Rattus norvegicus: one gene and its partners. The protein of the gene in region 2 purifies or fractionates together with the protein of the main gene of each other region. This does not show direct contact. Links are inferred from orthologs where the notes say so. Each region holds a gene or a part of one and is shown on either strand. Other genes may lie near its edges. The genes, in order: Bcl7a, Smarcc1, Dpf2, Sin3a, Bcl7c and Ss18.

Region 1 (5,215 bases), on a different chromosome or scaffold from region 2:
GCATGTTTAACGATATTGGTATTCCTTGTATTATTATCACGGATGAATAATCCCACTGTTTGAAAAGACATCCATTCGTCAATTGGTATTTGGGTTTTTAATATTTTTACATTTCATCTAGTGCGTGCGCGCGTGCGTGCATGTGTGTGTGCGTATGGTATGTAAACATGTGGCGATAGGAGAACAACTTTCATGAGTTCTTTTTTCCACAGTGTGGGGTCTGAGAGTTGAACTCTGGTCTTCAGGCTTGGCAGCAAACACATGTACTAAACCATCTTGCAGACCACATATGTGAATTTTCAATATATCTTATTTTAAAATTTTTTATATATATATACATATATATACATATATACACACACACACACACACACACACATATATATATATATATATATATATATATATATATATATAACATATATTCTGTGTCGAAACTGTGGTATAGCACTTGCCTAGCAGGCACAATTTCTGCACTAAACAAAAATTCATTCCCTGGGGTACAAGCACATATCTGATGGTCAGATACAGAGGGCCAAAAGTATGAGACTTCTGATTTACAGCACAGTTTTCAACCATGATAAAAATGGTTCTTTGACATATTTGTGGTGTGTGTGTGTATGTTGTTGTTATTTATTTGTTTTGTTTTGGTAGAGTTTGTCTTTGTAGCCCTGGCTGTCCTGGGACTCACTGCTATGTAGACCAGGCTGACCTTGAACACATCGACATCTGCTTGCTTCTGCCTCCCAAGTATTGGTATTAAAGGCGTGCACCACCACTGCCTGGCTCGACTGTTTTTTTTTTGTTTTTCGATTTTGGATTTGAGACAGCGTCTCACTATGTAGTCCTGGTTAGTTAGTCCTAGAACTACGTCCATAAACCAGGCTGGCCTTGAACTCACAGAGATCTGCCTGCTTCTGCCTCAGGAGTGCTGGAGTTAAAGGACTGGGCTACCAGGCCTGACCGTTCATATTTTAATTTTTTTCTTTTTTCTTTTTTTCGGAGCTGGGGACTGAACCCAGGGCCTTGCGCTTGCTAGGCAAGCGCTCTACCACTGAGCTAAATCCCCAACCTCCATATTTTAATTTTTTCCGCATTAGGATCCTGTGTTTAAAGTGGTTAAAAGATAAGCCTGGGGAAGATCCCACAGATTCTCACCCCCATCTCCCCACTAGTTCCCTCTACCAAACCCCTGCAGCACCCCAAACTTCAGGGGGGGTGCTGGGTACTAGAATCACAGCAGTCGCAGATGAAGTTCACGGCTGCAACCTTGAATCACCCCTTGACTCAGTTTCCCCATTTATGAAAGGGCTGATGTTGGCATCAATGCTCATTTTAGGTCATCTCTTGTCCCAGCATCCACCTGGACGAGCATTCGCTCTGGTCCAGTCTGTCTAGCCGCAACTGCACACCCACCTGTCCCTATCCTGGTTGACCGCGGTACATTCTGCCACGCAGCTCGGTCCTAGGGTAGGAAGACAGTTCCTCAAAAGAAAGTCCTTCTGTGTTGGACCAGTCCGGTTTACTTGCTGCTCCGGGCCAATACACTGCACTTCTACTAGGAGCCGTTTCAGATTAAATTGTCATTTTCAGAAAACCCCAAGGAGGTTGATCCGTGACTGGGACAACTTATCTCTACGGGAAAGAAAGTCCTGCGACAATGTCAATTGCCACCGGGCTCCAGCACCTTTCCTAGGACTGTAGTTTAAGCATGGGGAAGCGACTTTCTAGCTCGCACATTTTAACAAGGCAGCTGGCCAGAGACCGGCGCCTCAACTCTTTCTAAGATCACCTCGCGTCCCAAACCGCAGCCTCCAACTCCGAGAACTCAAGCGCCCGACAAGAAACTTGCACGATCGCGCCCGCGGCCACCAACCCGAGCCAGAGCACCCACGGCCTGCAGTCTGCCATCCCCAGGGTGTGTGTCTTGGACGGAGAGGCCCCCAATCGCACCTGCGGCCTCTGGGTGAGTCCGGTCGCGGGGCCGTCCCGCGTGCTGGGAGGTCGGGGTCACCCAAGATAGCTTCCCAGGGCGAGGTCCCCGAGGCTCCCCGGGGTGGGCGGCGGCGCCCGGAGGCCGCACTGCTGGCGGCCGCGCCGCTCCCCCTCGCTCTGTGCAGCTGCCGCCCGGCGCTTGCGCACTGGGCCCCGGGCGCGCGGCGGCACCAGGCTTTGTGTGTGCGCGTATGTGTGTGAGTGTGTGTCTGTGCGCGAGTGAGAGAGCGGGCGAGTGTGGCGAGCAGGACCCGGCGGGCGCGCTCCCCCAGCCTCTCTCTCCTCTCTCTCCCTCCCCGCTAGAACCATGTCGGGCAGGTCGGTTCGAGCCGAGACCAGGAGCCGGGCCAAAGATGATATCAAGAGGGTCATGGCGGCTATCGAGAAAGTGCGCAAATGGTAAGCCGAGGCGCCTGCTCGCTCTCTAGCTCTCCCCGGCTCGCTGCACCGCATCGCGGCCGCCAGCAAGCCGGGACCCAGCGCGCAGAGCGGCGGGGCGCAGCGGCCCCGGGCCCGGAGTTGGCGAGGGCGCGCGGCCGGGGTCACCTGCGCCCCGCGGGGGCTGCGTCCGCTGCCCAGGTGTGCTTGGCGCCGGTCGCCCACCTGGCGCGGCGGCGGAGGCAGTGGCGGTGGCGGTGGCGGCTGCAGCCCGGAGCCCGGAGCTCCGAGCTCGGCTCTCGGGAGAGGGGGGTTCGCAGCCGGCCCCAGAAGCCATTTCGTTTTTTTGTGCAAGTCACATGAAAGCGGCTTCCCGCGCGCCGGGGCCGTGATGCCGGCGGCGGCGGGCAGAGCGCGAGCTCCATTGTGCAGCGCGGAGCGGGCCGCCGTCTCCTCCCGGGGCGGCGCGGCGCCGGTGTCCCCCCAACACACACACACATACGCACACACACTCTCACCCTACGCCCCGACCCGCCCGCAGCTCCCCGCCTCCCAGGCCTCGGCGCCCTCGAGTCTGCGGAGTTTGCAGAGCGCGAGCCGTTTAAATTTAGCGCTTTGGGCAGCCTGGAGCGAGGGCTCCGGGCGAGGAAGGAAGATGGGGGCGAGCGCTAGGAAGGCGGTGGCGCGGCCCGGGCGCGGAGCACCCACGGCTCCCACGCGCTCCGCGCGGCACCCGGAGCTTGGGGAACGCGATGTTTGCAGCCAGAAGCCAAGTCCTGGGCCGTGTCTTGCCTTCTTCTAGCTGGAGCTGGTGTTTGTTTTGCGGAGAGAGCGAGCGACCGTTGTTTTTGTTCTCTGCACTGGGGGAGGAGGAGGGGACCGGGAGATTCGGTGTGGGCCGTGCGTGTTTTTCGAGCTCAAATTAGATCGTGCCCGGCGTGGCCTCGTTATAATTAGTAGGATGGAACATTTTCACGGCCCTCGTCGGGATCTGACTCCGAGGCGGCCCCAGAGACCAGGCCTGAGGCTCCAGTAGTCCACCACCAGGTTGGGTCAGACTTGTTGAAAACTCCCTGCTCCCTGATTTTAACTTTATTACGTTTTTTTTTTTTTCCCACGGCTTCATCTGGGTCCGAGCGGGAGAGGAGCAGCTGCGAGGGTGTCCCCAAGTGTCAGCGGCTGCTGGCTGGACCTGTCCTTTATAGGAACTGGCCAGGCCCCACTGCAGGCTGTTATTTTGGGGGGGTTTCATTTCTTGAGTCACGCCTCTGTTGTTGTTGTCTTTTTTTTTTTAAACACTTCTGGGGGTGCCTGTCTCCGGCTTGATGGTGTCACAAGTTAGCTGTCCTTTCAGAGTGAAACCCAACAAAAAAGGCAAGGAAAAAAATCAATAAAGTCCACGTGCTCCCGGGCCTCCTATGGAAAGGGCTGTCTGCGGATGGCCGGATGCCCGCCGTGGGCTGGGTTTGGCTCCAATGGGACAAAGAATTTTCACAACCGTGAGAAGGGGAGGCTTTCCAAAGTTGAGATCCAAGTCCTGGGTGCCGGGAGCTCCCCTGCTGAGCAGGGCGACTAGTGCCCAACTGGAGCCATTTAAAAATGGCAGAAACAGCTGCAGGCCAAAACACAGGAAAACAGCACAGTAACGGACCCTCTCCTGTGGGACTCTCAAGGGAAGGCTGGGGTGGTAGAGAACTGATATCAGAGCAAGCGTCCCTTCTGTCTGTCACCGGCCTGGACGGTAGAAAGCGGCAGGCTGGCCGGTGTAAGCTGCCTTTCTGGTCCTGGAGCTGTGACAGCTGCCGCTGGGTCTGCCAGCTGCTCTGCAGGGCGGGCAGATGGAGGGATGGGGCTTTCCACCCTGCGGGCCCCAGAGCAGCAGGCCTGGAGACTTCTTCCATCCCAGCGGGTTCACAGCCTGCGGAGCCTGGGAGTGCAGCGGGGGATGTGGCCGCCTTCTTCCCCGTAGTGCATCATGACCTCTAAAGACTTCAGGCTTTTTGGGATCTCCTGCTCGAGTTTCTACTTCTCTTCCTAGCTGTGACCTTGGGCAAAGCATGAAACTCAAGTTCCTTGCTGCTGTCAACTAGGGGACTCGGTGCCCCTTCCCCTTCCAGAACTGCCTAGGACTGGCTAGTCAGGTGGAGTCACTGGAGTACACAGGGGCCCTTGTAAACGCCCTTATGTAAGGTGGACTTTTGTAGAAATTTGGATCTGCTTCCCGTCCCCATCTTACACAGAAATGCAGGGGGCTTCCTTGAGTCACGGGATCTGGTCTTGGCCTGTCTGTACAACAGTGTTGCAATCAACCCTGAAGGCTTTGGGGTTGTTTATTAACTGTGGGCACCAACCATGCATTTCACCACTGGCTAAGGCATGGGGCTGCCATAATTAGCAAAGGAAAATACAGAACACCCAGGTAAATTTGAATTTCAGAAAAATAACAAAGTGATTTAAAAAAAAAAAAGTCCCCCCTCCCCCGTATAGTGATGTATGCCTATAACCTTAGCACTTGTAGAGGCAGGAGAATCAGGAGTTCAAGGATAGCCTCAGCTACATACTGAGTTCTGGGCTAGCCTGGTCTACATTCAAGCTTGTCTCAAAAAAAAAGGCAAAAATGAAAATGTCTACTGAGAATATTGCTTTAATGGTAGAATTTGAGCTTAATATGTACAAAGCTCTGGCTGTACACACACACACACACACACACACACACACACATACACACATATACAACCCTTTATGTAAGTATAGCCCATGAAATATTTGAGACACATACCAAACAGTTATCCATTTATCTGAAAAACTCAAAATCAGTGAGGAATTCTGTATTTTATTTTAC
Region 2 (4,501 bases):
TACACCTATGGCACACACACACACACACACACACACTCACACCCATACATACTACACCTATGGCACACACACACATACTCACACCCATACATACTACACCTATGGCACGCACACACACACATACTCTCTCACACACACACACCCATACATACTACACCTATGGCACACACACACTCACACACACATACTCTCTCACACACGCACACACCCATACATACTACACCTATGGCACACACACACACACTCACACACCCATACATACTATACCTATGGCACACACACACTCACACACACTCACACACCCATACATACTACACCTATGGCACGCACACACACACACACACACACACACACTCTCTCACACACACACACCCATACATACTACACCTTTGGCACACACACACTCACACACACACCCATACATACTACACCTTTGGCACACACACACTCACACACACACCCATACATACTATACCTATGGCACACACACACACACACACACACACACACTCACACACCCATACATACTATACCTATGGCACACACACACTCACACACCCATTCATACTATACCTATGGCACGCACACACTCACACACACATACTCTCTCTCTCTCACACACACACACCCATACATACTACACCTATGGCACACACACTCACACACATACACCCATACATACTACACCTATGGCACACACACTCACACTCACACCCATACATACTGAGGAACTGATACTGTTTGGTTATCAGGCACTGTTTTTAGCTCTTGCTTTCTCTGTACCACGTCCCCCTTGTCCACCTCACAAGAATGTGAGAAAAATATATATAATAAAATGTAGAGGCACATTATATTGTTTTGATTGCTTGTGTGTAAGCAAAGCCCGTGATTTTGCACACTGACAGGAATATAAGCATCTCTAAAGCGAATGCTGTACTCATTAGTGACGCACCAAGCTTCTCCGGCTCATCGGGCCCGGTGCCTGCAATGCAGCTGCTCTCCAGGCCGTAGGTAGGATCCACCTTCCCAGAGGCTCTTGCAGCTTCCTGTACTTTCTTGACATGCGCTTCCACCAATTCCAGGGGTACTTCTTCTCGGACACGAGAAAACTCCTCTGAGTCAAGATCACAAAGACAATATCTTAATTTTGCATAGATATTTGATCCTAGTGTGACAAAGTAACATCAGTTTATACAGTGAGCACACTAGGGAAAATATAAAATGAATCAATCCAATCACTTCCCTAGGTTATTATCCAAAACATAATAGTGCCTTCTTTATTATACTTTGAAAAGTTGTTTAAAAATCTATTAGAAACAAGTAAAATTTCAGTCCTGATTTCACCACTCTGCTGGCAAGACTGGTAACTATAAAAACAGCAAGGATCAAACAACCTTAAAAATGTAAATCCTACAATATAAAAGATGCCTGGGTGAAATTAAGTTATTGAAAATAAATTAAGTAGCTTCCATGCTATATCTCTACCAATATCCTAATGTCATAAAACACTTACTTTCCTTTATACACGAGTGTGTATGTACATGTATGTTGGTTGAGACAAGATCCACAATAGTCCACGCTGAACTTTAAACTCCTGATTCTTTTGTCTCTTCCTCTAAAAAGCTGCAATTTCACAGGTTATGCCAAATTATCTAGCTGTTCTTCTAAATCCACAAATATTCTATGGGCCAGCAACATGGCTCAGCCAGAATGGACATTTGTGGCCAGGCTGACAATTCAATTCATGAGGCACACGTAGTAGGACAAAGCTCACCCTTGCACTGCTAATCCTGACCTTCAGAGATATATCATGGTAAGTGATCTTCCCTCTCTCTCTTTCCCTCTCTCCCTCCCTCCATCCCTCTCCCCCTCCCCTCCCTCTCTCACACACACAAAATAGATTTTTAAAAGTGAAAGAAAAACAAAGTCCTTACAAATTATTTTCTACATTTTGATGAAGCACATTATCTTTAGTTTTTGTTGTGTGACTTATAAGAGAGAAATGTGTATTAACACAGCTGATATTCTTAAAAGCATTTGTATGTATGTGTGGGGGTGAGCTTGTGCCTGGGTTTAAGTCTGCTGGTTTAATCCAGTTGACATCAACAAAGATTCTATCAGTTCTCCCTCCACCTTATCTCTGAGTTACTATCCCTGTCAGGATGACTTGTGAGACCATCTATTCTGTCTCCCAGTATAGATGCTATAAGCATATACTAGAGCTTCTAGCTTTTACACAGGCTTTGGAGATCTGACTCAGGCCCTCATGCTTGCACAGCATACACTTTATATAACTGAGGCAAATGTTAAGTTCATGGCTAATCATATTTGAATATAAAGTCAGACTTTAGTGCTGGAGAGGTAGCTTTCACAGGAAGTACATACCCAAAGCTGCTTTGGCTGCAGCTGATGCTACTCGAGGGTCAACCACGGATGCTAAAAAGGCAACAGTACTCATCACGGGGTTTCCTGACTGGCTGAAAGGGACAGGCTGGTAAGCTAGTGGCCCAAGAGAAGCATCTGAATTTTCAAGGTATGGGTCCTCAATGGGAAGCCTCAAAAAGTGGAGGATGCATTCATCCTGAGTACGGCTTCCAACATGTTCCGAGACTTTATTCCAATCATCCTTGTACATCTCCAGAGCCTAAGTGAACACAGAAACAAAAGGGTGATAGCATCAAATAACAAGGAAGGAAAATAGAAGGGAAGAAAAATGAAGCCAGTGCCCTTTTTCCCCCTTCTGTGTGACAGGATCTCACTATGTGATACAGGCTGGTCTTCAACTTCTACTAACCCTGGTTCACAGGCTCAAGAGTGCTAGGCATGCAAACCCAACCTTGCTAAGATTCTGCAGACAGAATTCTAAAAAAATTTGGGTAGTGATCTAGTAGTTATGGTGGCGCATGCCCTTCAACCCCAACTGTCTGTAAACTGAGACAAGATTTGAAGATAACAGAGTGGACAAGATCCTATTTCAAACTAGTAATATAAATAATTATTTCTACATTAAGGTAAAAGGTAATCTGGCAGTGACCCTTATAATAAGTTGTCAATCAGGCAACAAAACAATAATGAAATACCTGAACATTACAATATTCGTTTAAACTGGATCACTACTCTTTACATGAAAACTTTCAAAGAATCTACTCTGAGATGGTGGCTGAAGATTACCACGACAATATCAGATGGGCTAAAAGCGTAAGAGAAAGCAAGAACAATGCTTATATTCCTCTCATAGCAATGAATAACTTTTTTAAAAAAGATTTATTTTATTTTTGAGTTCACTGTAGGTGTCAGACACACAAGAGGAGGACATCAGATCTCATTACAGATGGTTGTGAGCCACCATGTGGTTGCTGGGAATTGAACTCAGGACCTCTGGAAGAGCAGTCAGTGTTCTTAACCACTGAGCCATCTCTCCAGCCCGCAATGAACAATTTTAAAGTGGAAAAATATTTGTAACATTATTAAAATGAAATAAAAATTTGAGTAAATTATGTGTAAGACCAACATGATACAAAGAAAATCAACGTGAGAGAATGAAAAGATGGGCAGAAAGACAGACAGAAAGAAAGGGAGGAAAGAAAGAGACACAAACAATAAAAAGGGGCAAGTGAGAAGGCTGAGAGACGAAGTCACTGTTTAGTAACCCACAAGATGTTAGAAGAGAACAGACTCCAATGTTGCCCTGCCTTCCACATACACATCATCATCTACCCATACAAACACACTAAGGTCTACAAGACAATGGATTTTTAATAAAAATTGAGGCTAGCAGTAAAAGATTGACAGGACAGAATAGAATGAGTCATAAAATTTATTAGAGTTTTGGTAAAAAGTCGTAAAAACCTTCAAAACAAAAACGAAAACCTGAATCTATATGATTAAATACATAAAATAAATAGTAAGAAAATATAACAAATGAAATAACTTGTCAACCTTTTAGGGCTTGCTACTGTTACTTCTCTCTGGTGGCATGATTTCCTGATACCCTTTTTTGGGAAATGGGAGTGGAGTGGGGAGGGTCTGGAACAGAAGCAGGAGTGTGTGTGATCTAGGTAAAAGCTTTGCCTTACAGATTCACAAATCTGAAAAAGGTTCTCTCTCCTACCTTCAGTGATCTCACATTTATCTGGCTTTTAAGCTGCCCTACTTAATCATGGAAGGCAAAGGACTTGCAATCTTCAAATGCTAGGTTAGAGGGTGTACACCCAGAAACCTGCCTTGTAAGCTAGTGTTTGCTCTACATAACTGCTTTCAGGGACAGTGTTAATAGTAAACAATGCTGCTGAGCCTTACTGCTTCTCAGTTAAGGAATCAACATAAATATGTTGATAATCCCTGCCTGCTTCCTGCCTAAAAGAAAAGACAACCCTAGCACAGAAGCCACCTGCAGCAAAGAAATGTACTATTGTTTACAAGTATAGCAGGCAGTTCTCTTCAGCATGGTCAGGGCAAACCGTAGCTCAGGAATTGTTACCTCACTCTGTATTTACTGTCC
Region 3 (5,063 bases), on a different chromosome or scaffold from region 2:
CAAGTATTCCACCAACTGAGCCACATTCCAACCCCCACCCCACAAAAAAAAAAAAAAAAAAAAAAAAAAAACATTGAGGGCAGAAGAGACTTCTTTCCCATAGTATCCCCAGGACCCATGAAGGTGTCATCTAGATCACATCAGGATGGATTTGGGAGTAAAAAGACTGATTTTGGTACAGGCACCACATGGACACAGTCATGTGGTTAATCTGTATGAACCTCCATTCCTCTCCTATAGATTGGGGCAGTTAGATTAGATGATCTCTGGCCTGCCAGGATTCTGATGGAGATAGTAGGGATAAGGAGGCATGAAAAGCAAGAGGGAGAAGGTCTCAGTCTCAGTGGCCAATACCTACAACTAAAGCTGTATGGACAAGCACTAACGTAGGATCTGATAGGGACTTTCACTGAGCAGTCACAGGAGACCACTGCATAGCTTAATAAAAACACACACACAGCAACACTACAAGTACAGCCTGAGTTGATTCAGTGAGCAGTAATAACTATAATTAAGGTATGAATGTGTTGGAGCGCACAGCACAGAAGAGAGCAGGCTCACATTTGCTCGCCTTTAGGAGGCAGCCTTGTCCTTACCACACAGGAAAAACCGATAAACAAGGCTGACTGCAGCAGCTCCTTTGTTTCTGCTGATGGAATTGATGCTGACACTGGAAGTCAAACGGAAGGAAGGACCAGCCCAGTGGGGCTGAAGACTGCAAAGTCAAAGCACAGAGGCTGAAGAAGGCCTGGAGGAATGACTGGAATGTCCAATCGGCTCCTGCAGGTCAGGTAAGATTCTAGAAGGTGAAGCAAGTGCTCTAGTAGGAGAAATGGCCAGAAGAAATTATGTACATGTATGTGTGCCCATGTGCGTGTGCGTGTGTGTGTGAAGAGAGCAGCAAAGGGGAGAATACATGAATTCAAGACTCTGTAGCAAAAAATTTCAAGCTTCTGTTATTCTACAGATAGCCTTATATAACTCATATAAAGTTTTAAAAACTAGTTGGTAGTCATGGTTATTTTTTAGACTAGTATTTACTCTATACTCTAAAGACTATGTCAACCATGATAATGTATTTGAGAAAAGCAGAAAATTAAGACAAAGTCTTCTCACAAGGCAAAAATCAAAGAAAAAGATGAACTAGTGGTCTTTCCCTCAATGAGTGATGTCAGCTGCCAGAAGACTTAAGCACACTATAATAAAAAAGAAAGTATCAGAAAGGCATCTTTCCAAAGTGAGAATGGTGTGAGAATCAAAGTCTTCTCTATAAAGGGAAAGTTCTGTGAGGTACGTGTTAGTGATGTCTAGTCTTCTGCACCTAGAAATGGGAAGAATCAACTCAGTACCTCGCTGACACTAGGAACCATTGACTGGTTAAAGAGGCAGGAACAGCACTGCTCTATTTAAATGGGAACCAACACTTAAAATACTACACCAATGGGTTGGCAACTCCATTCTCCGCAAGACCATCTTTCAATATGAAGAGCTCCATTAACATGTAATTCTGAAAACCTAGGCAACACGTTCTTCTAGAAAGTAAGATTTCCAGGGTAAAAGCTGTGGCTCCTCTTTTCACAGGAAACCTGTGGGGTAGGAGTGGGGGCACAGGACAACTCCCCTTCCACCAGGAATAGGGGAGGTCAACAAAGAAAGGCAGAGTAACAAAGACCTAACAGCTGAGTCTAGAAGGAGAACCATAAAAATGTTAAATTAACAGCTTCATTTCTAAATTAAGGGAAATGTCAGCCTAAAGAGGGCTGGGGAAGCCGGAGGGGGCAGATCATAAGGATAATAGTGTTGGGAGGAGGGGTGGTTGAAAGAGGCAGCAGGATGAAGCCAAAAGCAAGTAAAAAAAAAAAAAAAAAAAAAAAAAAAGCCACAAGAGAAGGCACTTAGCTTAATGGAGGTGGGAAAGCATTCTCGAAGAAAAGGGCTCCAAGCAGCGGGGGAGAAGCAACTTAACCTTAAAAAAAAAAGCCTCTTGGGACTATGGGGGCTCAGCCCACGACAAAGACAGATGAAGCTGCGAAAAGTCCTCCAGAATAGTTCCTAAACCATTACTTTGCCATCCAGAATCCAAAAGCTTTGACTGGACACCTGAACACTTCCATTTTTCTATTCTTACATCACGCCCAACATGGCCATTAAAGGAAGAAAAGGCCATTCTTAAGCCCAACGGGCATTTTTAACCCCGTTCCAAAACTCTCGATTCTTCTTCAAGAAGGAAGGAGGAGACTCATCAAAACCCCAAACACCTCTAACTCGGGGGAAGCGGCTAACAGGCCAGTCCCCGTTCCCAGTGTTTCCCAACAACCGTTAACTTCAGCTCTGCTCGAAATCTGACCCGCACAATGGCATCTAGGGTACAGAGAACGCCCACTTCGGGGCTCCTGCGGACCAGAAGGCCGTCTGGTTCCGGTCTAGTTGCCCACTCCCAGAAGTTCTTTCCCTTCTGTATCTGCTCTTGGAACAATTCTTCCCAAGAACAGTTTTAGTTTCGTGTACCCCGGATTTCCCGGTTAATGTCACCGGGCTGCTTAAATCTTAGGATCCCAGCAGGTACGGCGGAGCCTGTAGTCCCAGGGAGGGCGGTGGGCGGAGAGGGGACCCCGATCTCCCAGGGCCGCCGGCCTCAGCGCGACGGGACTGAGGGGCCAGGGACCGTGAGCCTCTCGTTCGCAGTCCGCAGCTCCGCTCGGGGCTCGGCCCGCGAGAAGGACGCTCGTCGGGGACTCTAGTGTGCCCCCCTCCCGGTCTCCACAAGTTTCCAAAAGAAGCCCAGCGCCTTCTCCAGAGTCTCCTGTTGCCCTCCCTACCAGCAGTCGCACAGCAAGGACTTCCCGGGCATGTCCTTCTCTCTGTCTTTTCTCTTCCCGCACTTCCCTCTCTACTCCCAGGCCCCATTACAAGATTTCCTGTACAGGAGAGATTTTTAAAAAGAAAAAGAAAAAAGAAGACCACTCACAGCTTCACTACATTCTCCACCACAGCCGCCATCTTCCCAGTTCCTCTCCCTCAGGCCGGGAGGCCCCGAAGCCCGCAACGCGCAGGCGCTAAGCCTTCTCAGGACACACGGTCCTCGATCCTCTGCGCAGGCGCAGCCCGAGGGTGCGCGCACGCACAGGCTCACGAGGGCGAGCGCTAAAAAAAAAAAAAAAAAACGACCCGACCTGGAGCCTAGGGGATCCCGATGCGCAGGCGCGATTGGAAAACTATGCGCCCTCTGCAGCTCATTCTGGAGATCTGTCTCCCCTCCATTTAGTAGAGCCTCAGGAAGGCTTGGTTGGAAAGTGAGAAAGGTAAGTGAATAGGCCAGGCAGATGAGCTAGAAGGAGCAACAGTGTCCTGCCTAGCTGACCGTTAGACACATGATTGACTCACAGGGAAGGATTGGAAAGGTCAGGGAGGTACCCAGTCCTTTAGGTACCTCTGTCCGCAACCCCCTTTGCCTATTAATCTGCCTTTTTCCCTACCTCTCGTCGGTGGGCTAAAAGGGAGGTTGAAGCATTTAAGAACCCTAAATAAAGTAGGCTTTGAAAAACCTAAGCTTACACTACATAGAGGCTCAGAACTGTCTGTAACTCCAACTCCAGGATCCCACAGTTCTTTTGACCTACTTCTTGACACCCTGGCTCAATGGAACCCTATCTTAGGGTTTCCACGCCTGTGGAGAGATACTATGACCAAGGCAACTCGTATAAAGCACAGTATTTAATTGGGGCTGGCTTATAGTTTTAGAGGTTCAATCCATTATCATCATGGCATTCAGGTAGGCATGGCTCTGGAGGAGCTGAGAGTTCGACATCTTCTTCAGAAGACAAACAGGAGAAGACTGGCTTCTAGGTAGCTAGGAGGAAGGTCTCTCCAAGCCTACCCCCACAGTGACACACCTCCCCCAACAAGGCCACTCCCTGGGCCAACCATATTGAAACCACACAGATCCCCAAAGCTTACACATGGCTACCAGCTGTATGCAGTATTAACGGCAGGCCCTGGCAGAGTCTGTATTCTCTCACTTTCCTGCAGCCTCAGTGCTGGTGTAGCTTCTCTCCTGGCGGGGTGGGGTAGGGTAAAAGAGAGGCACCTTTCTTACATTCTTACTCATGCAGTCTCACCCGAGACCTGAGCTGAAGCTAGAGGAGCCACAGGTAGAGGACATTATTGCCTTGGGTTCTGGGACAGACACCAGCCATACATGGAACTCCTGTGTCAGAGTGGTAACCTGAAGCTTTGAACTCATTGACCTCAGGCACCTCCTTACACTGAGGTAGCTAGAAATAGAAGGACCTTCCCTCCTTAGCTTGTCTAGGCACCATACCTTCAACTATACCACAATCAAAAGGAAGTCCCAAAGTACACACAAGTGTTTAATGGACAGCTAACAATGTCAAGTGTTCCTACAGTACACTGGCTTTTTTTTTTTCTTTTTTTTTTTCGGAGCTGGGGACCGAACCCAGGGCCTTGCGCTTGCTAGGCAAGCGCTCTACCACTGAGCCAAATCCCCAACCCCAGTACACTGGCTTTTAAAATTTGTATTTGTTTTTGTTTTTTGAAAGAGGGTCGGGGTTGGGGATTTAGCTCAGTGGTAGAGCACTTGCCTAGCAAACGCAAGGCCCTGGGTTCAGTCCCCAGCTCCGAAAAAAAGAAAAAAAAAAAAGAAAGAAAGAAAGAAAAAAGAAAGAGGGTCTGTCTACATAGCCCTGGCTGTACCTGAACTCACTATGTAGACCAGGTTAGCTTCAAACTCACAAAGATCCACCTGCTTCTGCCTCTCAAGTACTAGCACTAAAGGCATGGGCATCTGCTGTTTGTTTTTTTAAAGATTTAGTTTGTGTATGTGTGTGTGAATGTATTCTGTATGTGTCCTCTGGAGAACAGCAAATACTCTTAACCATTGAGACATCTCTCTCAAGTGCGGGGTTTTTTTGTTAAATTTGATTTTATGCGTATGAATGTTTTGTTTGCAGGAATTGTCTGTGAATCACTTATGTGCTTGATGCTGGGGTGTGGGGTGGTAGGAAGACCAGAAGAGGGCATCATACGGTTGTGAGCTGTCCTTT
Region 4 (5,093 bases), about 53 Mb from region 2:
CATGCGTGCACATACAATTAAACACATTAGCAAATGATCAGAATCGGAGTTCAATAAATATAAACCCTTATTACAAGAGGGATGCTATTGTTTAAAAAAGCAAGTACTATCTTTTTAAAAGAAGAATCAAAAGATATAAGTCCATACACTTTTAGTTGGGGAAAAAAACCACTAGATTACTGAAGGTCATGAACACAACCTCTGAATTCTGAGTAAATTTCCCCCTACAGCTACCCTGGATAGCCTTTCAGGATATTGGCTGCACTGTCAAGATGGCTGTGCTTTGCCAGGAATCTAATTAATACCGATCTCAAGTCTTAAAAAAAAGAAGAAAAAAAAACTTCTTTATGCGAACTATTAAGGCCTGAATTTAAAAGTATTAACATTTTTCAAAGCTATATTTCTGTTTTTTTCACACGTGTATAGATATATGGGTATGCACCTGTGTCTGGGTGCCTAGGGGCCAGAGGTGTCAGTACTTGGAGCTCCAGATACATGTTGACATGGGTGCTAAAAACTGAACTCAGGTTCTCTTAGATACTAGTAAGTAAAAATAAACATATAGTACTGATGGATGGAAATGTAAAAATAGAAAAAACAAAAACAAAAGCAAACAAATATAACTAGGTTCTTGAATTTTTAAAGCCTAGGACTTGTGACTCCAGCACACAATCTAGAATACACATTCTATAAGAGTACGAATTATGCCCAGCAGTGGCGGCACATGCCTTTAATCCCAGCGTTTGGGGGGCAGACAGATCTCTTGAATTTGAGTCCAGCCTGGTCTAGAGGGTGAGCTCCAGGACACCCAGGGCTACAGTTAAACTCTTGTTTCTAAAAACAAAACAAGAAAAACAAAAAAGATATGAATTAGGTCATCTGTATTTCCCAGACTGTGCTTCAAATGGTAGAATTAACTGAGGTTAGGCAAACTTTCCTCAAAGGCTAAGCATTCTCTACTACCGTTTTCAATGTGCTACATCTGTAAGACACCCAAGTTCTTATCTTTTGGCCTCCACCTCAATTCTGTTACTACTGCTGTTGTCACTTTTTTAGCTGAAAAGTGAATATTTAACCTCTTCATTATGTACGGCACAGGGCATGGTTTTCAGCCTCTACTGAACAAAGGACAAATCCAGAATTTAGCTTCAGAAATTACATATAAACGATGGGGTTAGAGACGGCTCAATACAGACTGCAGACTGCTCGTGCAAAAGGACCTAAGTTGGGTTCCCAGAACCCATGTCGGGTGGCTCATAACCACCTGTTAACTCCACCTACAGGGGATCTAACATCCTATTCTGGCCTTACACACGCACGCACACTTTAATATAAATCTTTTTTAAAAGTGGTTTATACATACTCATTCAGACATCAATACATAAATTAAGGATTCAGTGTTTACTTTTCATAAAAAGTTCTCTAAATAAGATCAGCTAACACCAACCCACCTAATAAGGTTACCTGTGCAATAAATCCACAATGGCCAAAGTAACACAGGTTGGGAGGTCATGCTACACATAGGTTTCATAAGGTTCAACCTACTTAGCATCTAAAAAGATCTTTAAGGACTAACAATTACATAAAACTAAAAGAGAACACAAAATTTTAAGTTACCTTTGTGCAGCTAAGCTTATATAACAAAACCTTCTGTAGGTTAAAAAAAAATCAAGAAATCAAAGTATTTTACTTAAATTAAAAAGAAAAATTCTGACTAGAGGAAAAAAAATCAGCCCTGGGGTATAACCTAGTGGTGAAGCAATACTTATGTGCCTTAAATAAACTCCGACACACACAATCATCTTCAAATATCATCTCTGCCAAAGACCAGTTTTAAGATTAAGAAGTAAATTCAATCCTTTCTCTAGAAATACAGTCTCAGCTTTATAAGGAGCTGGAACGGCAAACTGAGTTTAAAGTCCTGAGGTACCAAAAATGGTAGCAAATTTTAGCTATCTACCCATGGGTGCACAGCTTAGCTCTGTTAAGGCACAGTAGCTGAACACCAAGGGAACTCTAGGAAAGGTTGGCGCCCTCCAGAATCTCAGTCTCTGAGTACGCTGCCCCTCCCCCACCGGCCACTGGCGGGGAAGCATGGGCCCAGCACCAGCCGCACCCCACCGCAGACACTCCAGAGAGGACGCTGAGTTTCTCGTCCCAATAATTACAACTAAGAGGAGCAGCTGACCACGCTTCTACTCTCCATAGCTTTTAAGGCGCCATTCACGATGCGTGAAGCAAAGTAGAGACTACAGCTCCGGGCCACGATGCCCCAAGCAGAATGGATGGAGAAGCCACAGCAGAAAGTCGGGACACCTCCACCGCTCCCAGTCTACAAGCGGCCTTCCCACCTACAGGGACGCAGGGCGGGGCAGACACGGAACCCTGACCCCTGCCAGACGCTACAGCGGGCTTTCCCCAGCTATGCTTCACAGCTAAGGAGGCGGAAATCCCGGCGGGGGCGGGGCGGGAGGGGCGTGGCATCACAGCCCCGGACGCGCCTTCCGGCCAACCGGATCCCGCTAAGGCGGGGGAACACAGGCTTCACGCCCCCTCGCCGCCGCGCCCTAAAAGCCACACGCCGGGACCCTCTTCTCGTCCCGCACACCCCGCGGACCCAAAGCAGTACAACCCGTGTCCCCGCCCACAAGGGGAGAAGGGGCGGGGCCACGGCCGCGGGCCTTTAGTCCCAGCCCGCCCCGCCCCTTTCTCCACCACCGCACGCGCGCCGGCCCCGCCTCTGATCGGCGGGACTAGGGCCCGCCCCTCCGTGCGCACCGGGACTACGCTCTCCTCCCCCTCCCGCACTGAGTGCGGCTCCGCTCCGCCCCCCACAGCCACGCACGGGAAGCCGAGGTCAGCCCCCCCGAAAAACACACGCCCTCCAGTCCCGGGTTACCCGCCACCCAGCTGCTGGGCAGACCGCGACGCGGCGTGCTCTCACCGCAAAAGCTCCAGCCACTCAGCCTGCGCGTCGCTCCCGGCGTGAGCCTCGCACCCAGCACGGAGGCCCCGGAACGGCGCGGGCACAGGCCCGCAAGAGCGGACTGGCAACCTCCTTTGCGCCTACGAAGCGGTCACAGGCCTGGGTGTCCAGACTGGGAAGGAGGGAGGGAGGGAGGGAAACTCTAAGGGGGGAAGGGGAGGGGGGAAGATGGAGAAACCGTCTCTGCCGCCTCTACCGCCGCGGCCGCTTCTCTGTTACCCGGGAAATCCCGCCCACTCTCCCGGCCCGCCCCGCCGAGGGAAGGCTTAACCTCGCTCCGCCACGGGATATATTACCCATCCGTCAATGGTTTAGCCAATCACCGTGCCGCAAAGGCCTATTCCCGCCCTCTTCCCTCGCTGGGAGGGGAGAGCAAGCCGCTCACCTTCTCCACGCCCCTATTGGCGGGGAGAGTCCCTAACTCAACCCCGCCTATTGGAGACTGATTGCCGAATCCCTCCTCCAGGCTCCAATACTATTGGAGGAAGAAGGGTACCTCGTCACATCTCATTGGAGAGTCTCACATATCCCTCCCCATACCGCCCCAGCCACAGGCCTAACAAATCGGCTCCCGCCTCCGCCGGTTCCCGCATTGGAAGACTACCTTTGCTTCTCTCATAGCCCTAGGAAGGTAAGTAACCAATGTGGGGTAAAAATGTCCTTAAGTGAGGCCGACTCCACCCACTACACTGCTGGGCCAGGCTCCGCCCCCAAAGATCTGATTGGACTATCTTGGCGCCGGTAGGAGCCGCCATTGGACACGGCGCCGGTCCAGGAAGGAGACCATTCCGCCCTGCGCGAGGATGCTGAACCTTAGCAGTCCTTTTGTGGAATGTTTACACTGGAGACTGAAGCTCAGCGTTCCAAGGCCGGGACCGGAGATGGCGCGCAGCGCAGCGGTCGAAACCGGAGGCTTTGAGATTTGAAAAGGAAAAGGCAGTAGTATTACCACCATTGGAGGATTAACCAAAACAATGACAGAAAGCCTCGTCCTTCCTACCCACTTATTTTTACACTTTCACGGTCTTCTAAACACAGCCATCTGGAGCACTCAGCAGCTACTTTCAGCAAGCCGACTCCAAAATTAATGTCTGGAGCTCTAATCTGATACAAAAAACCCAGATATTACTAGCCAGTCGCCAGAGCCGGCTGCATACTGTGACACTGGGACAACCAGAATCCGCAGCCCTCAGGGGGCGGAGATAACCCAGCGGAGGCCTTTAAATGTCACCGCCTGGGCAAGCCTCCGGAAGGCGGAGCATGAGAGAAAAAAAAATGTATTCCAGGTCGGCCGGGTAGATCCAGGGACATTTTAAACTGGAGGAAGGGATGCAGAAAAGCTCACACAGACCACTGTATAAATAAACCTTGAGTGTGCATTCACATTCAGATAACGAGTAAAAATTCCAGATTGTGTGAAGGATATGGTCTTAAAAACGACTGTTCAAAGGGAAGAGCCTGTAATCGCAACTATCCTCGATAGGGCAGGAATAGTGTCTCCTAGGCCAGCCCCTTCAAAAAAAAAATGTGAGGGGTATCCATGGCCTCCTTGGCAGAATGAGTTAATGGCGGTCTCTAAGCCTTCTTGGTAGGTAACAATGCCTAAACATATAAAGTGCTTTGAGATACCTAATTCCTTTCATTTATTCACTAATAAGGCGTAGGACCGATGCCGACCTTGCTTTGGGGAGCCTTTTGCTGCGCCGTGTGAGGTTAGGCGGGGTTAGTCTTCCCGCGCTCTAGAGCAAAGGGAAAAAAATCCTCCCTAGAGTCGAATGTCCCCAAGAGATACAACACCGGGAACCGTTTCGTAAATCCAGTGCTGCTCTCCTGTAATCCTACGGAGACAGCCATAAACAAGTGTTGGCAACAGGTGGGTCTCAGTCCTAGGATGGCTTCACGCCGTGAGGCCATAGTAAAGAGTTGTGAACTCCAAGAGTGGCCGACAGGTGGGAGCAGCCACACCGGTCAGCCACACCGGTAACAAGCCAAGCCCTGTTCCAGGACAGGGCTTTAAAAATAAGAAAAAACAAAACAAACAAAAAAAAAAACAGCTAAATCGTCCCAGGCTGAAGTAGCACTCCAAAACTGACAGATGCCTATCCTT
Region 5 (4,977 bases), on a different chromosome or scaffold from region 2:
TCCTCGGTGTTGAGATTAAGGTGTGAGCCACCAACCTGGTCTTTTTTTTTTTTTTTAAAGAAAACTCGACATTTATTTTGGCTATGTATGGTATGTCAGGTGTGTGGAGGTCAGAGAGCTGTCAGGAGTAGGTTCCCTCTTCTATGATGTGGGGTCATCTATTGAGTTTAGGTCATCAGGCTTTGTGGCAAGTCCCTTGTTCACCGAGATATCTTGACAGCATTCATTTTCTTTAAGTAAACCTTTAGCTGAACTATAATACACACAAGAAAAATTACAAGTAATAAATGTCCATCTTGACAGACTAAAGACAAGTGTGACAAGCTCCCGGAAAACACCATGAATGTACTTGTGTTCTGAACTTAGATGTAGAATTATCTAATGCATGTTGTCACATCTGGCTTCTTTTGTTGCAGACCCATCCCCACCATTGCACATAGCAGGACTTTGGTTTTTCTGGTTGTTTTGTCTGTGCTCATGGTATAAACAGGTTGTAACTGGTTTTCCATTCCATTCTGTTGAGTGGCTCCCAGGTTGGTGCTATTATGAAGAGTACCGAACTTCCCAGTATACATATCTTGGTGTTCATACAGACACATTTCGTCCTAGTGAGGTTTCTATTGCTGTGATAAACACCGCATCTATTTCAGCTTGCAGTTATAGTCTGTTATGAAGTCAGGGCAGGAACTTAAAGCAGGAACTGAAGGAGGCCAGAACTGAAGCAAAACCTTGGACGAACTTTGCTTACTCACTTGCTCCCCAAGGCTTGTTCAGTCTGCTTTCTTAAAGTGCCCGGAGGTGGCACTGCCTACAGTGGTCTGGCTCTCCCACAACAACTATTATCAAGAAAATGCCCGGGGTTGGGGATTTAGCTCAGTGGTAGAGCGCTTGCCTAGCGAGCGCAAGGCCCTGGGTTCAGTCCCCAGCTCCGAAAAAAAGAAAAAAAAGAAAAAAAAAAAAAAAAAAAAGAAAATGCCCCATAGACTTACCTGCAGGGCAACATGATGGAGGCGTTTTCTCCATCAAGGTTCCCTCATTCCAGATAACCCTAGCTTGTGACGAGTTGACAAAAAAGAGGCAGCACATATTCCTTCTGTTGAGTGTTGCTAGTTTGGGAGTGGAAACTGTTGGAAGACGGGGTTGGCATAAGTTTTTCAATGGAAGACTGCCAGTTTTCCAAACTATCTCTACCAATTACACACCCTGATTCAAGGAATGGCAAGTTGCTCCTCTGCTACTTCATCTACATGGTCTTTTTCACTCCCGCCATTCTGATTGAGGAGGCCGGCTCTCCACTCGCAGAGTCTGGCTTGTACTAGGCGCTGTTAATGGAACTGTTCAATGAATGAATGAATGAATGAATGAATGTATGAATGAATGAATGAATGAATGAATGAATGAATGAATGAATGAACAAGTTAAGTTGGGCAGCTTAGAATCAAACAGCCTGGAGAGGGCAGACGCGCGCACACAGAGCATTTCAGGGACGCCCACCCGCCGCGGACGCACACCAGGACAGTCCCTCTCGCGCACCCCTGTGCCCACGTGGCCGGAACGCACCGCCTCGTTCGGGCCGCGCGCGTCCAGCCGCACCGCTGCCCCCCAGCTCTCCCTCTCCGCGGCGGGCAGAGGGCGCTGTGCGTCCGTGCGCCCCGAGGGGCGGGCCCGGGCCGGGGCGGAGCTGGCCGGGCTTCCAGGCCGGGGCTCTAGCCGCCCGCGCCGCCCGGGCCGCTCCGGGGACGGGCCGGGGCGGGGCGCGGTCTCAGGAAGCCAGGCGGGGACGCGCGGAGGCGTTGGGGAGCGAGGGAGGGCGCGGCCAACTCCCGGAGGGACGGCAGGCCGAAAGAGCGGCGCCGGGGCCTGGCGCGCAGCCTGAGATCGCCGGACCGCAGGCCGCCCCACCACGGGCTCTGTCCCGGCCCTAGCCCCGCCAGCATGGCCGGCCGGACCGTGCGGGCCGAGACCCGGAGCCGGGCCAAAGATGACATCAAAAAGGTGATGGCGACCATCGAGAAGGTCCGGAGATGGTGAGCGCTGCCCCCGGGTCAGGGATACAGCCAAGCCACCTCCTCCAAACGCGTCCGCCCTTTCCTGGCCCGCTGCCCCCGCCCACCAGCTGTGATCTAAATCGACAGGGCGCCCCCTTTCCTTGGCAATTCCCAGAGGTCTACAAAGCGTGGTCCGGAGTGGTGCTTTCCCTGAGCGGGAGCCCTCATCTATGCCCCGCCCCCTGAAGCTTTTGACACTCTCGCAAGCTTGGCCCGGGGTCTTCATTGCCTGAGTGCCTGGGCAGGCCTTGGTGGCGCCCTGCTGAGTGCCCCAGGTGTCTGCAAAACCGCAGCTCCAAGTTATATCCGTTTATGCTTTGCCCTGGGGTTTAGAGGGCTCTTTCTGCTTCTATGCCGTGTAAACGAAGCTGTCCGTACCCTAGCACACCTCCCTGACCTCCAGTCTGTGGGGCTCACCCTTGGGCCTCCCTGACCCAGTCTCCTGACCTCCCACAGGGAGAAGCGCTGGGTGACTGTGGGTGACACTTCCCTTCGAATCTTCAAGTGGGTGCCTGTGGTGGATCCCCAGGAGGAGGTGAGCAAGCCCAACCCCCAACATGCCTTGCATCTGTGCAACCTCAAGCAATTTCCCTCCCCTTGGCCTCCACCTTCAGTCGGCTTGGAGACTCCACTGTGGAGCCCAGGCAGATGGTAACGATTATTAGGGGGCATGAGCACGGAAGCGCGCGCGCGCGCGCGCGCGCACACACAAACACACACACACACACACACACACTTTCTCCAAGTTCAAGACCTAACTCGGCCTACACAACCTGAGGCAGCACCTTTTGCTTCTCTGAGCCTAGGTTTCCTTATTTGAATTGAAGGACTTTGTAAGAGCTCCCTGGACAAACTAGCTCTGATCTTACTTCTCTAACCCTCAGGAGAGGCGGCGGGCAGGAGGAGGGGCAGAGAGATCTCGTGGCCGGGAGAGGCGTGGTAGGGGCACCAGTCCCAGAGGGGGTGGCCCCCTCATCCTGCTGGATCTCAATGGTATGTAGAGATTCTGGAATAGGGGTGGGGGGGCTGGGTGCTGAAAGAAGCCACTGGGGTCCTCTGGCCAACTAACTTGACTTTTGCTTCAGCAGATGAGAACAGCAATCAGAGTTTCCATTCCGAAGGTTCACTGCAAAAGGGCACGGAGCCCAGCCCTGGGGGGACGCCCCAGCCCAGTCGCCCTGGATCACCAACTGGACCTCCAGAGGTGATTACAGAAGATACTCAGCCCCCACAACTGGGCCAAGAGAGAGGTAGGACCATGTGGCTCTTGGGAGTCCTCTCCTCACCAGAGTTGAACCTACCGCCTTGTATGTGTTTCTATATTGTGTTGTGTCCCCCCCCCCCTCCCCCGTCCTGCCTCCCTCAGGGAACCTTTCCTGACCCTGGCAGAAATTACCTCTGGCTGTGCCTGGCTCATTCCTTGGCATCTTGGATTTGTAGGGAGCGTGTCGCCATCTGAAAACTTTATGTAAATGTACTTTTTGCTTGCTTATTGCCTCTCTGTTACCATCTCATGTCAGACACACTGATCTGGTTCATGTGGGACGCATAATAGATGTTCGGCAACTAAATAATTCTGATAACCCTAGGGATTAGTAACCGTAGATTAACAGCTGACAGAACCACTTATCTGTTAGTCATTCTTCTGAGCACTTCAATGTTTTGTGGTTTGTTTTCTCATTTAACCCTCACTGACATTTTATGGAACCAATGATCCTATGATGATTCCTATTTATACACGAGGAGCCCAACATCCAGAGAAAGATGCCCAGACTTGCAGAGCCAGTGCGCCAGCTCCTCGGCCTTCCTGTAGTCCACCCCCCCTTCCCAGGCATGGCTGACTCCCGTGCCTTTGGCGCTCCCTTCTCACTTCTCACTTGCACTGGCTCTCGCCTCCACATGCTACAGCTTTCTTAGAGCAGATTCCAATCGGCCATTTTCCTGCTTTGTGTCCTTCGTTGGCTCCCGTGGCCTTTGATTCCTTCGTTTGAACCAGAGGCCTTTATAAACTGTTGCTACTGAAATTGTTCCCCTGTCAAGAACACCATGACATGGGGCTTGGGACCACACCTAGGTTGTCCCAAATACTTTCGCTAATATGAAATGATGGGGCAGGGCATGCAGCCCAGTGCAGGTGCTTGTCTGTCATGCCTAAGGTCCTAAGCCCCATCTCTAGTACCACAGAAATGAATGAATGAATGAAACTGCTAGCTGGCACTTCTTGAGCACATACTATGTGCCGTGTACTTGATCCACACAGCAGCCTCTCATGGTGTTACTGTCACTATTTCCATTCTGCGGATGACTGAGAGTCTGTGGTCACTAAGCACATATTTCTATCTGCCTAAATTCTACTCTACCTCCGTTTGCCTCCTGGCTCATTCCCTACTGACAAGATCCAACTTGAGTCTTCCTTCCTCAGCAACTTGGTACCCCTCTGCCCCCACAATGTCATCATGTGTGACCAGTGCCTGTCTGTTTCCTTTGCCCCTGGTCCACTCTCTCAGCACAGAGTAGCTGCTCAGGAAGTGTCTCTTTGTTTGGTGTTACAGATCCAGGGGGCACACCTGCAGGAGGTACTGATGAACCCCCAAAGCTGACCAAGGAGGAGCCTGTTCCAGAATTGCTAGAAGCCGAGGTGAGAGAGGCCAGAGTCCGGACTCTGGCCTTGTGGGGACTGGAGGCTTTGGGGAAGCAGGGAGACTTCATTCTAGGCTCCAGGAGGGAGACGTGGACCTAGAGCCCACAGAAGGCTTAGCTGGAGGTTGGATTCTTGGGTGAAGGAGAGGATTGCAGACACCACCCTGAGGGCTGATCATGGCTGATAGAAGAGCACTAGAAGCCTGAAATGATCTTGGTGCTCCCCTAAGGACTTAAAAAAAAAAAAAAAAAAAAAAAAAAAAAAACCTAGGCTCAGAATTCGGCTTGG
Region 6 (4,501 bases), on a different chromosome or scaffold from region 2:
TGGGCAGGGATAGAAAACGGGAAGGGTAACATTAGAGAGATTACCATCAGGGTAATATTGCTGGTTCATGCCTTCTGGAGGACCTTGTCCACCATGACTGTATTGGTCCCCATAATAGTCTTCCTGGCCTGAGTACTGCTGTGGTGGGCCTGAAAAACCACAACCAGTCAAGACATAAATCATTTGTTCTCTGCGTCATCCAAGGCGATCTTTCTAATCTGCTGTTGCGAGAGACTACTTCTGAGCAGGAGACTCCCACAGTGCTTGGGCACTATTCCCATGCACACACACACACACACACACACACACGCACACGCAGGTCCACACGTCACGGTTATCAAATCAGTAAGACCATACACATAATACCAAACAATACCAACTCAGAAAAGCAACCTCTGAAGCAGAGGCTGAAGCAGGTGGAAACTGATTTCTTTTTACTTGTTACATTAGTATTAAGGCATTTTGATATAAAATTGGCTTTGTTCTTTGTCATATACTTAGTAACTTCTAAAAAAGGGAGAGAGGGCATTTTCTGATGTAAATGAGTAAATTTGATAGAAAAGTTTCTGATGTGGTATTTCCCTAGAGAACACCAGACAAAAGGAAGCCATGTGCTGGGAAGCTCCTCTATGCCTCAGGACTTCCTCAGGGTTCCCTAAACCCTGCTACCTTGGTGGGTGGCAGGGGAGTGCAACAAAAGCCAGGATGAACAGTACATTAAAACTTAAAGCCTTTCAATGACTGTCATTTACAGTAAGCAAGGAATTTTCCAGATGGCTTCTCACCCTGTTGTGGAGGTCTATAGGGAGGCATCTGTCTCTGGCCCATCATGTGACTGCCTTGGTTAACTTGACCCATCAGCCCCATGGGCGCCTGCTGTCCTTGGTAATGCTGCGCACCTCCAGGTGGCATGCTGTACTGCTGAGAAGGAGGCTGCTGGTGCATCATGGGACCTGAAGACAGAAAAACATCATCACGCGGTGTTCTGGCACTGCTGCTCAACATGCGATGACAGGTACAAGACTCTTACCACAGAATACACAAAGTGTGTACTCGAACAAGGGACACTGACTGCAAGTATAAATGAGTCTGCACAAAGCTCACAGGCCCACATTTATCTGCAAATAAGGAAAACAACCAAACCCCAGTGGAACCCTCAGGTCCACCAGAGCACTCCAGTCATTTTTAAAAAATCAACATGGAAACAAGCTCTTTCTGGCATATACATCTTCTATCCGCATCATCTCACCGGCTCTCAAGGCAAAAGCATCTTACCACAGCATGAGGAAAGCGATGAAAATAAGACCGACAGAAGAAACCCACTTCTGGGTTTGTTTCCTTCTGTATGTAGAGAGGATGATAAAGACTTATTCTCTGTATGTGTGTGAGTTTGCATGACTTATGCACGCTGCATACATGCAGGAGCCCAGGCTAGACCAGGGAGGGAGGGCATCTGGAATGCAGAAGTCACAGGTGGTGTGAAGGCTTGGGACTGACCTCATGTCCTCTGGAAGAGCAGCAACACTTCTACCCACTGAACCATCTCTCCGGCCCTACACTCTCATTCCTTTTAGTACACATTTATGCAATAGTGGTAAGCAGAAACCTACAGAAGCACTTCATAAACATATCAGTTAAATTTTATAAACTTCAATTTTATGCAAAATTAAAAAAACTTTCCATTTCCCAAACCTTTTATAAGCTTTACAAACTAGAAATATATAGTGCTTTTTCTTTTTCTTTGAAATATCTTTTTATTTTACATTCTTTTTTTAAGGATTTACTTTATGTATGAGTACAGTGTTGTTGTCTTCAGACACATCAGAAGAGGGCATCAGATCTCATTACAGATGGTTGTGAGCCACCATGTGGTTGCTGGGATTTGAACTCAGGACCTCTGGAAGAAGAGTCAGTGCTCTTAACCCCTGAGCCATCTCTCCAGCCCTACAGTGCTTTTTCTTAAAAAAGAAATTTTTTTGTTTTTTTTTTGTTTTTTTTTTTTAGTTTTAATCATATGTGTACAGGTGTTTTGCCTGCATGTATGTATCTGTGAACGATTTGTACGTATGCCCAGAGGCAGGAGAGGGCACTGGATCCCCTAGAGCTGGAGTTACAGACATGACAGCTGTCATGTGGGTGCTGAGAAGTGAACCAAGGTCCTTTCCAAGAACAGCTCAACCATCTTTCCAGCCTCCAGGATCACGGTGCTCCTTAATAAATAACTAAAATCCTCTCACCTTGCCCACCCTCTAACTTCCTACTCCCAGTCTCCCCACCCTAAAAACTACCAGGAAAAGGTCTGTAGTAAAGCATGGGCTCAGAGACAGGTACACTCTACAGGGTGAGAGTTAGGAAAAGGTCTGTAGTAAGGCATGGGCTCAGTACACTCTACAGGGTGAGAGTTCAGCACCACTGCTGCAGCACATACAGTGAAGATCTGTCACGTGACCCGCAGTGGCCCTCGAATTCTGTGTGGCCGCCTAGCAGTGTCAGATGCTCCCCGAGGGCTGCCGGGTCCTTAAAGAGCAGAGTCCCACACTCTCAGCCCGCTGACTCGAGTGTCTGTGTGTCGTCTTGCAGTCCTGCTTACATAGCGCCAAACTTGGGGGTGAGTTAAAGTACAAAAGGGAAAGCTGTGCAGGCCACGATGACACAGTGAGTCAGAGGCTCACTATTAATTTAAACAAACATCTAAAAACCAAGCAGCCACTTCCTTAAGTTTCCAGGGACAATGTGAGCACAGAGCTTTACCTCCTCAGCAACGTGACCATCTGTTCCGTGGGAAGAAAAGCTTCTTCAGAGCTGCTGTCTCCCTGAGCACCTCTGTGTGTTCTGCTTTTGTCTAACTCTTCTCGGGTCTCTCCAGTTTTTATCACTGTATGTAGAAGCTCTCCAAAGCCCTGGAGCCCTTCAGCATGGAAATGAATTCTTCACAGCAGGAGGAAGACGGCTCAGTAAGACTGGCAAGGAGGCAGACCCTGGGCGCACTGTAGGTACCTGCAATGCAAGCTGTCACCTGCACTTCCCAGGGCACCCTGGCAACCAGGGAATCCACAGAGCAAGCTTGCTAACAGTACCTGGCAAGATTACAAATGTCAAGCCGAGTTCAAAGTGCACCTCTGTGCCTGTCCTTTTCACCTGCACATCTCAGAAGCATTGGGTGTAGTGGCTGCAGTATGGGTGTGAGCCGTGCACATGTAGAGTCGGAGGAGCCCACAGGATCCCCTAGTTACAGACAGTCATGAATTGCCATGTGGGTACTGGGAGCCGAACTCGGGTCCTCCAGAAGAACGGGTGATCTTAACCACTGAGTTTATCACTCTAGTCATGAACTCTATGTGATAAAAACATTTTAATGCTGTTACTCATAATTTATTGTCAACCTGACTGGGCCTTTTAAATTTCATTTTCAAGAAATGAAAGGTTTGCCTTATTTTTATTTTCAAAAACTGCCCAAAGGACTCCTGACTTAGAAGTTAGGCTGTATCTGAATATTGGAGCCAAAATGAAAGGCATCGCTAGGGGAGGGGCTCTCAAATATCTATCACAACAAAATTCTATCTCACTTCAAAGTCCTTCCAGGAGAGAGGAAATTCCAGCACAGGGCACAGCCCACACAACCGTGCCATCTGAGCCCTATCTCTATCTGCCTGCAGCTCAGTCACTACCTTCCTGAATTCTGTCACTGCCCCCAAGGCCTCACAGCACTCAGGATCAACGTAAATCCAGAGAAAACAGGAGAGGAAGGCAGCACACACCCGGCACTCTGCACACGCCCTTGAAGGCTTATCCACGAAGTTTAAACGTCAACTCTGATTATCTAGGATGCATATGGTTTTCCTTAACACACTAACGGGAACAGAGCAGTTCAGTGAAAGGCCGCCAATTCTACGGATGGCAGAATACCCCAGAATAACGTAGACTGGCAAGGTGAATGCAAATAACGGCAGCAAGCATCTGTCACTTCACAGATGTCCCTTGTTTCTATAAATGTCGATATTAGATATACGACAAAGTAGATAATGCATACACAAGATATAGAATACCTCATTAATCTAAGAATTTTTCATATATTTTTCACCATTTCCACACTAATCCACTTTGAATTTTATAACTTACTACACAGTCTACAATAACAATTCTACATTAAACACAGAAAATAGTCCAAAATTGCTATACTTTATTACTGAAATCCTGAGCTCCAAAATTCTGTCAAGAAGCAAATGTGAGTGCTTCTCATTATGTAGCAGGCCCAAGGCAAGGAGCCTGGGTGACGGACAGACGTGGCAGACATTGTAACCATCTCAGGGGCTTACACTCAGACCAAAGAACTTACGGATGTTATCAGTTAAATTTGGGAAGAATCTTAAATTATTTTTTTTTCTTTTCTTTTTTTCAGAGCTGGGGGCTGAACCCAGGGCCTTGCGCTTGCTAGGCAAGCGCTCTACCACTGAGCTAAATCCCCAACCAAATTGTGTTATTTTTTTAAAACATTCTTCAT

What was found.
Region 1: the proteins of Smarcc1 (region 2) and Bcl7a purify together in Homo sapiens (affinity purification with mass spectrometry; 4 studies listed by BioGRID and IntAct, counting the BioPlex papers as one, with this or other methods). This does not show direct contact. The link is inferred for Rattus norvegicus from reciprocal best matches to the Homo sapiens genes SMARCC1 and BCL7A.
Region 3: the proteins of Smarcc1 (region 2) and Dpf2 purify together in Homo sapiens (affinity purification with mass spectrometry; 9 studies listed by BioGRID and IntAct, counting the BioPlex papers as one, with this or other methods). This does not show direct contact. The link is inferred for Rattus norvegicus from reciprocal best matches to the Homo sapiens genes SMARCC1 and DPF2.
Region 4: the proteins of Smarcc1 (region 2) and Sin3a purify together in Homo sapiens (affinity purification with western blotting; 3 studies listed by BioGRID, with this or other methods). This does not show direct contact. The link is inferred for Rattus norvegicus from reciprocal best matches to the Homo sapiens genes SMARCC1 and SIN3A.
Region 5: the proteins of Smarcc1 (region 2) and Bcl7c purify together in Homo sapiens (affinity purification with mass spectrometry; 4 studies listed by BioGRID and IntAct, counting the BioPlex papers as one, with this or other methods). This does not show direct contact. The link is inferred for Rattus norvegicus from reciprocal best matches to the Homo sapiens genes SMARCC1 and BCL7C.
Region 6: the proteins of Smarcc1 (region 2) and Ss18 purify together in Homo sapiens (affinity purification with mass spectrometry; 4 studies listed by BioGRID and IntAct, counting the BioPlex papers as one, with this or other methods). This does not show direct contact. The link is inferred for Rattus norvegicus from reciprocal best matches to the Homo sapiens genes SMARCC1 and SS18.

What each region holds. Positions count from the first base shown.
Region 1 is NC_086030.1:38,901,720-38,906,934, reverse strand, and holds the start of Bcl7a (B-cell CLL/lymphoma 7 protein family member A), read left to right. Parts: upstream 1-2,164; 5' UTR 2,165-2,302; coding exon 2,303-2,394; intron 2,395-5,215.
Region 2 is NC_086026.1:119,048,042-119,052,542, reverse strand, and holds part of Smarcc1 (SWI/SNF complex subunit SMARCC1), read right to left. Parts: intron 2,645-4,501; coding exon 2,386-2,644; intron 1,115-2,385; coding exon 953-1,114; intron 1-952. UniProt on the Homo sapiens protein: Involved in transcriptional activation and repression of select genes by chromatin remodeling (alteration of DNA-nucleosome topology).
Region 3 is NC_086019.1:212,625,239-212,630,301, forward strand, and holds the start of Dpf2 (zinc finger protein ubi-d4), read right to left. Parts: upstream 3,052-5,063; 5' UTR 3,001-3,051; coding exon 2,969-3,000; intron 2,661-2,968; exon of another isoform or gene 2,509-2,660; intron 1-2,508. UniProt on the Homo sapiens protein: Plays an active role in transcriptional regulation by binding modified histones H3 and H4. Is a negative regulator of myeloid differentiation of hematopoietic progenitor cells. Might also have a role in the development and maturation of lymphoid cells.
Region 4 is NC_086026.1:66,379,771-66,384,863, reverse strand, and holds the start of Sin3a (paired amphipathic helix protein Sin3a), read right to left. Parts: upstream 3,082-5,093; 5' UTR 2,945-3,081; intron 2,857-2,944; exon of another isoform or gene 2,598-2,856; intron 835-2,597; exon of another isoform or gene 729-834; intron 1-728. UniProt on the Homo sapiens protein: Acts as a transcriptional repressor. Corepressor for REST. Interacts with MXI1 to repress MYC responsive genes and antagonize MYC oncogenic activities. Also interacts with MXD1-MAX heterodimers to repress transcription by tethering SIN3A to DNA.
Region 5 is NC_086019.1:191,751,340-191,756,316, reverse strand, and holds the start of Bcl7c (B-cell CLL/lymphoma 7 protein family member C), read left to right. Parts: upstream 1-1,675; 5' UTR 1,676-1,935; coding exon 1,936-2,027; intron 2,028-2,504; coding exon 2,505-2,583; intron 2,584-2,932; coding exon 2,933-3,041; intron 3,042-3,133; coding exon of another isoform or gene 3,134-3,136; coding exon 3,137-3,298; intron 3,299-4,600; coding exon 4,601-4,686; intron 4,687-4,977. UniProt on the Homo sapiens protein: May play an anti-apoptotic role.
Region 6 is NC_086036.1:6,060,984-6,065,484, forward strand, and holds part of Ss18 (protein SSXT), read right to left. Parts: intron 954-4,501; coding exon 786-953; intron 150-785; coding exon 45-149; intron 1-44. UniProt on the Homo sapiens protein: Appears to function synergistically with RBM14 as a transcriptional coactivator. Isoform 1 and isoform 2 function in nuclear receptor coactivation. Isoform 1 and isoform 2 function in general transcriptional coactivation.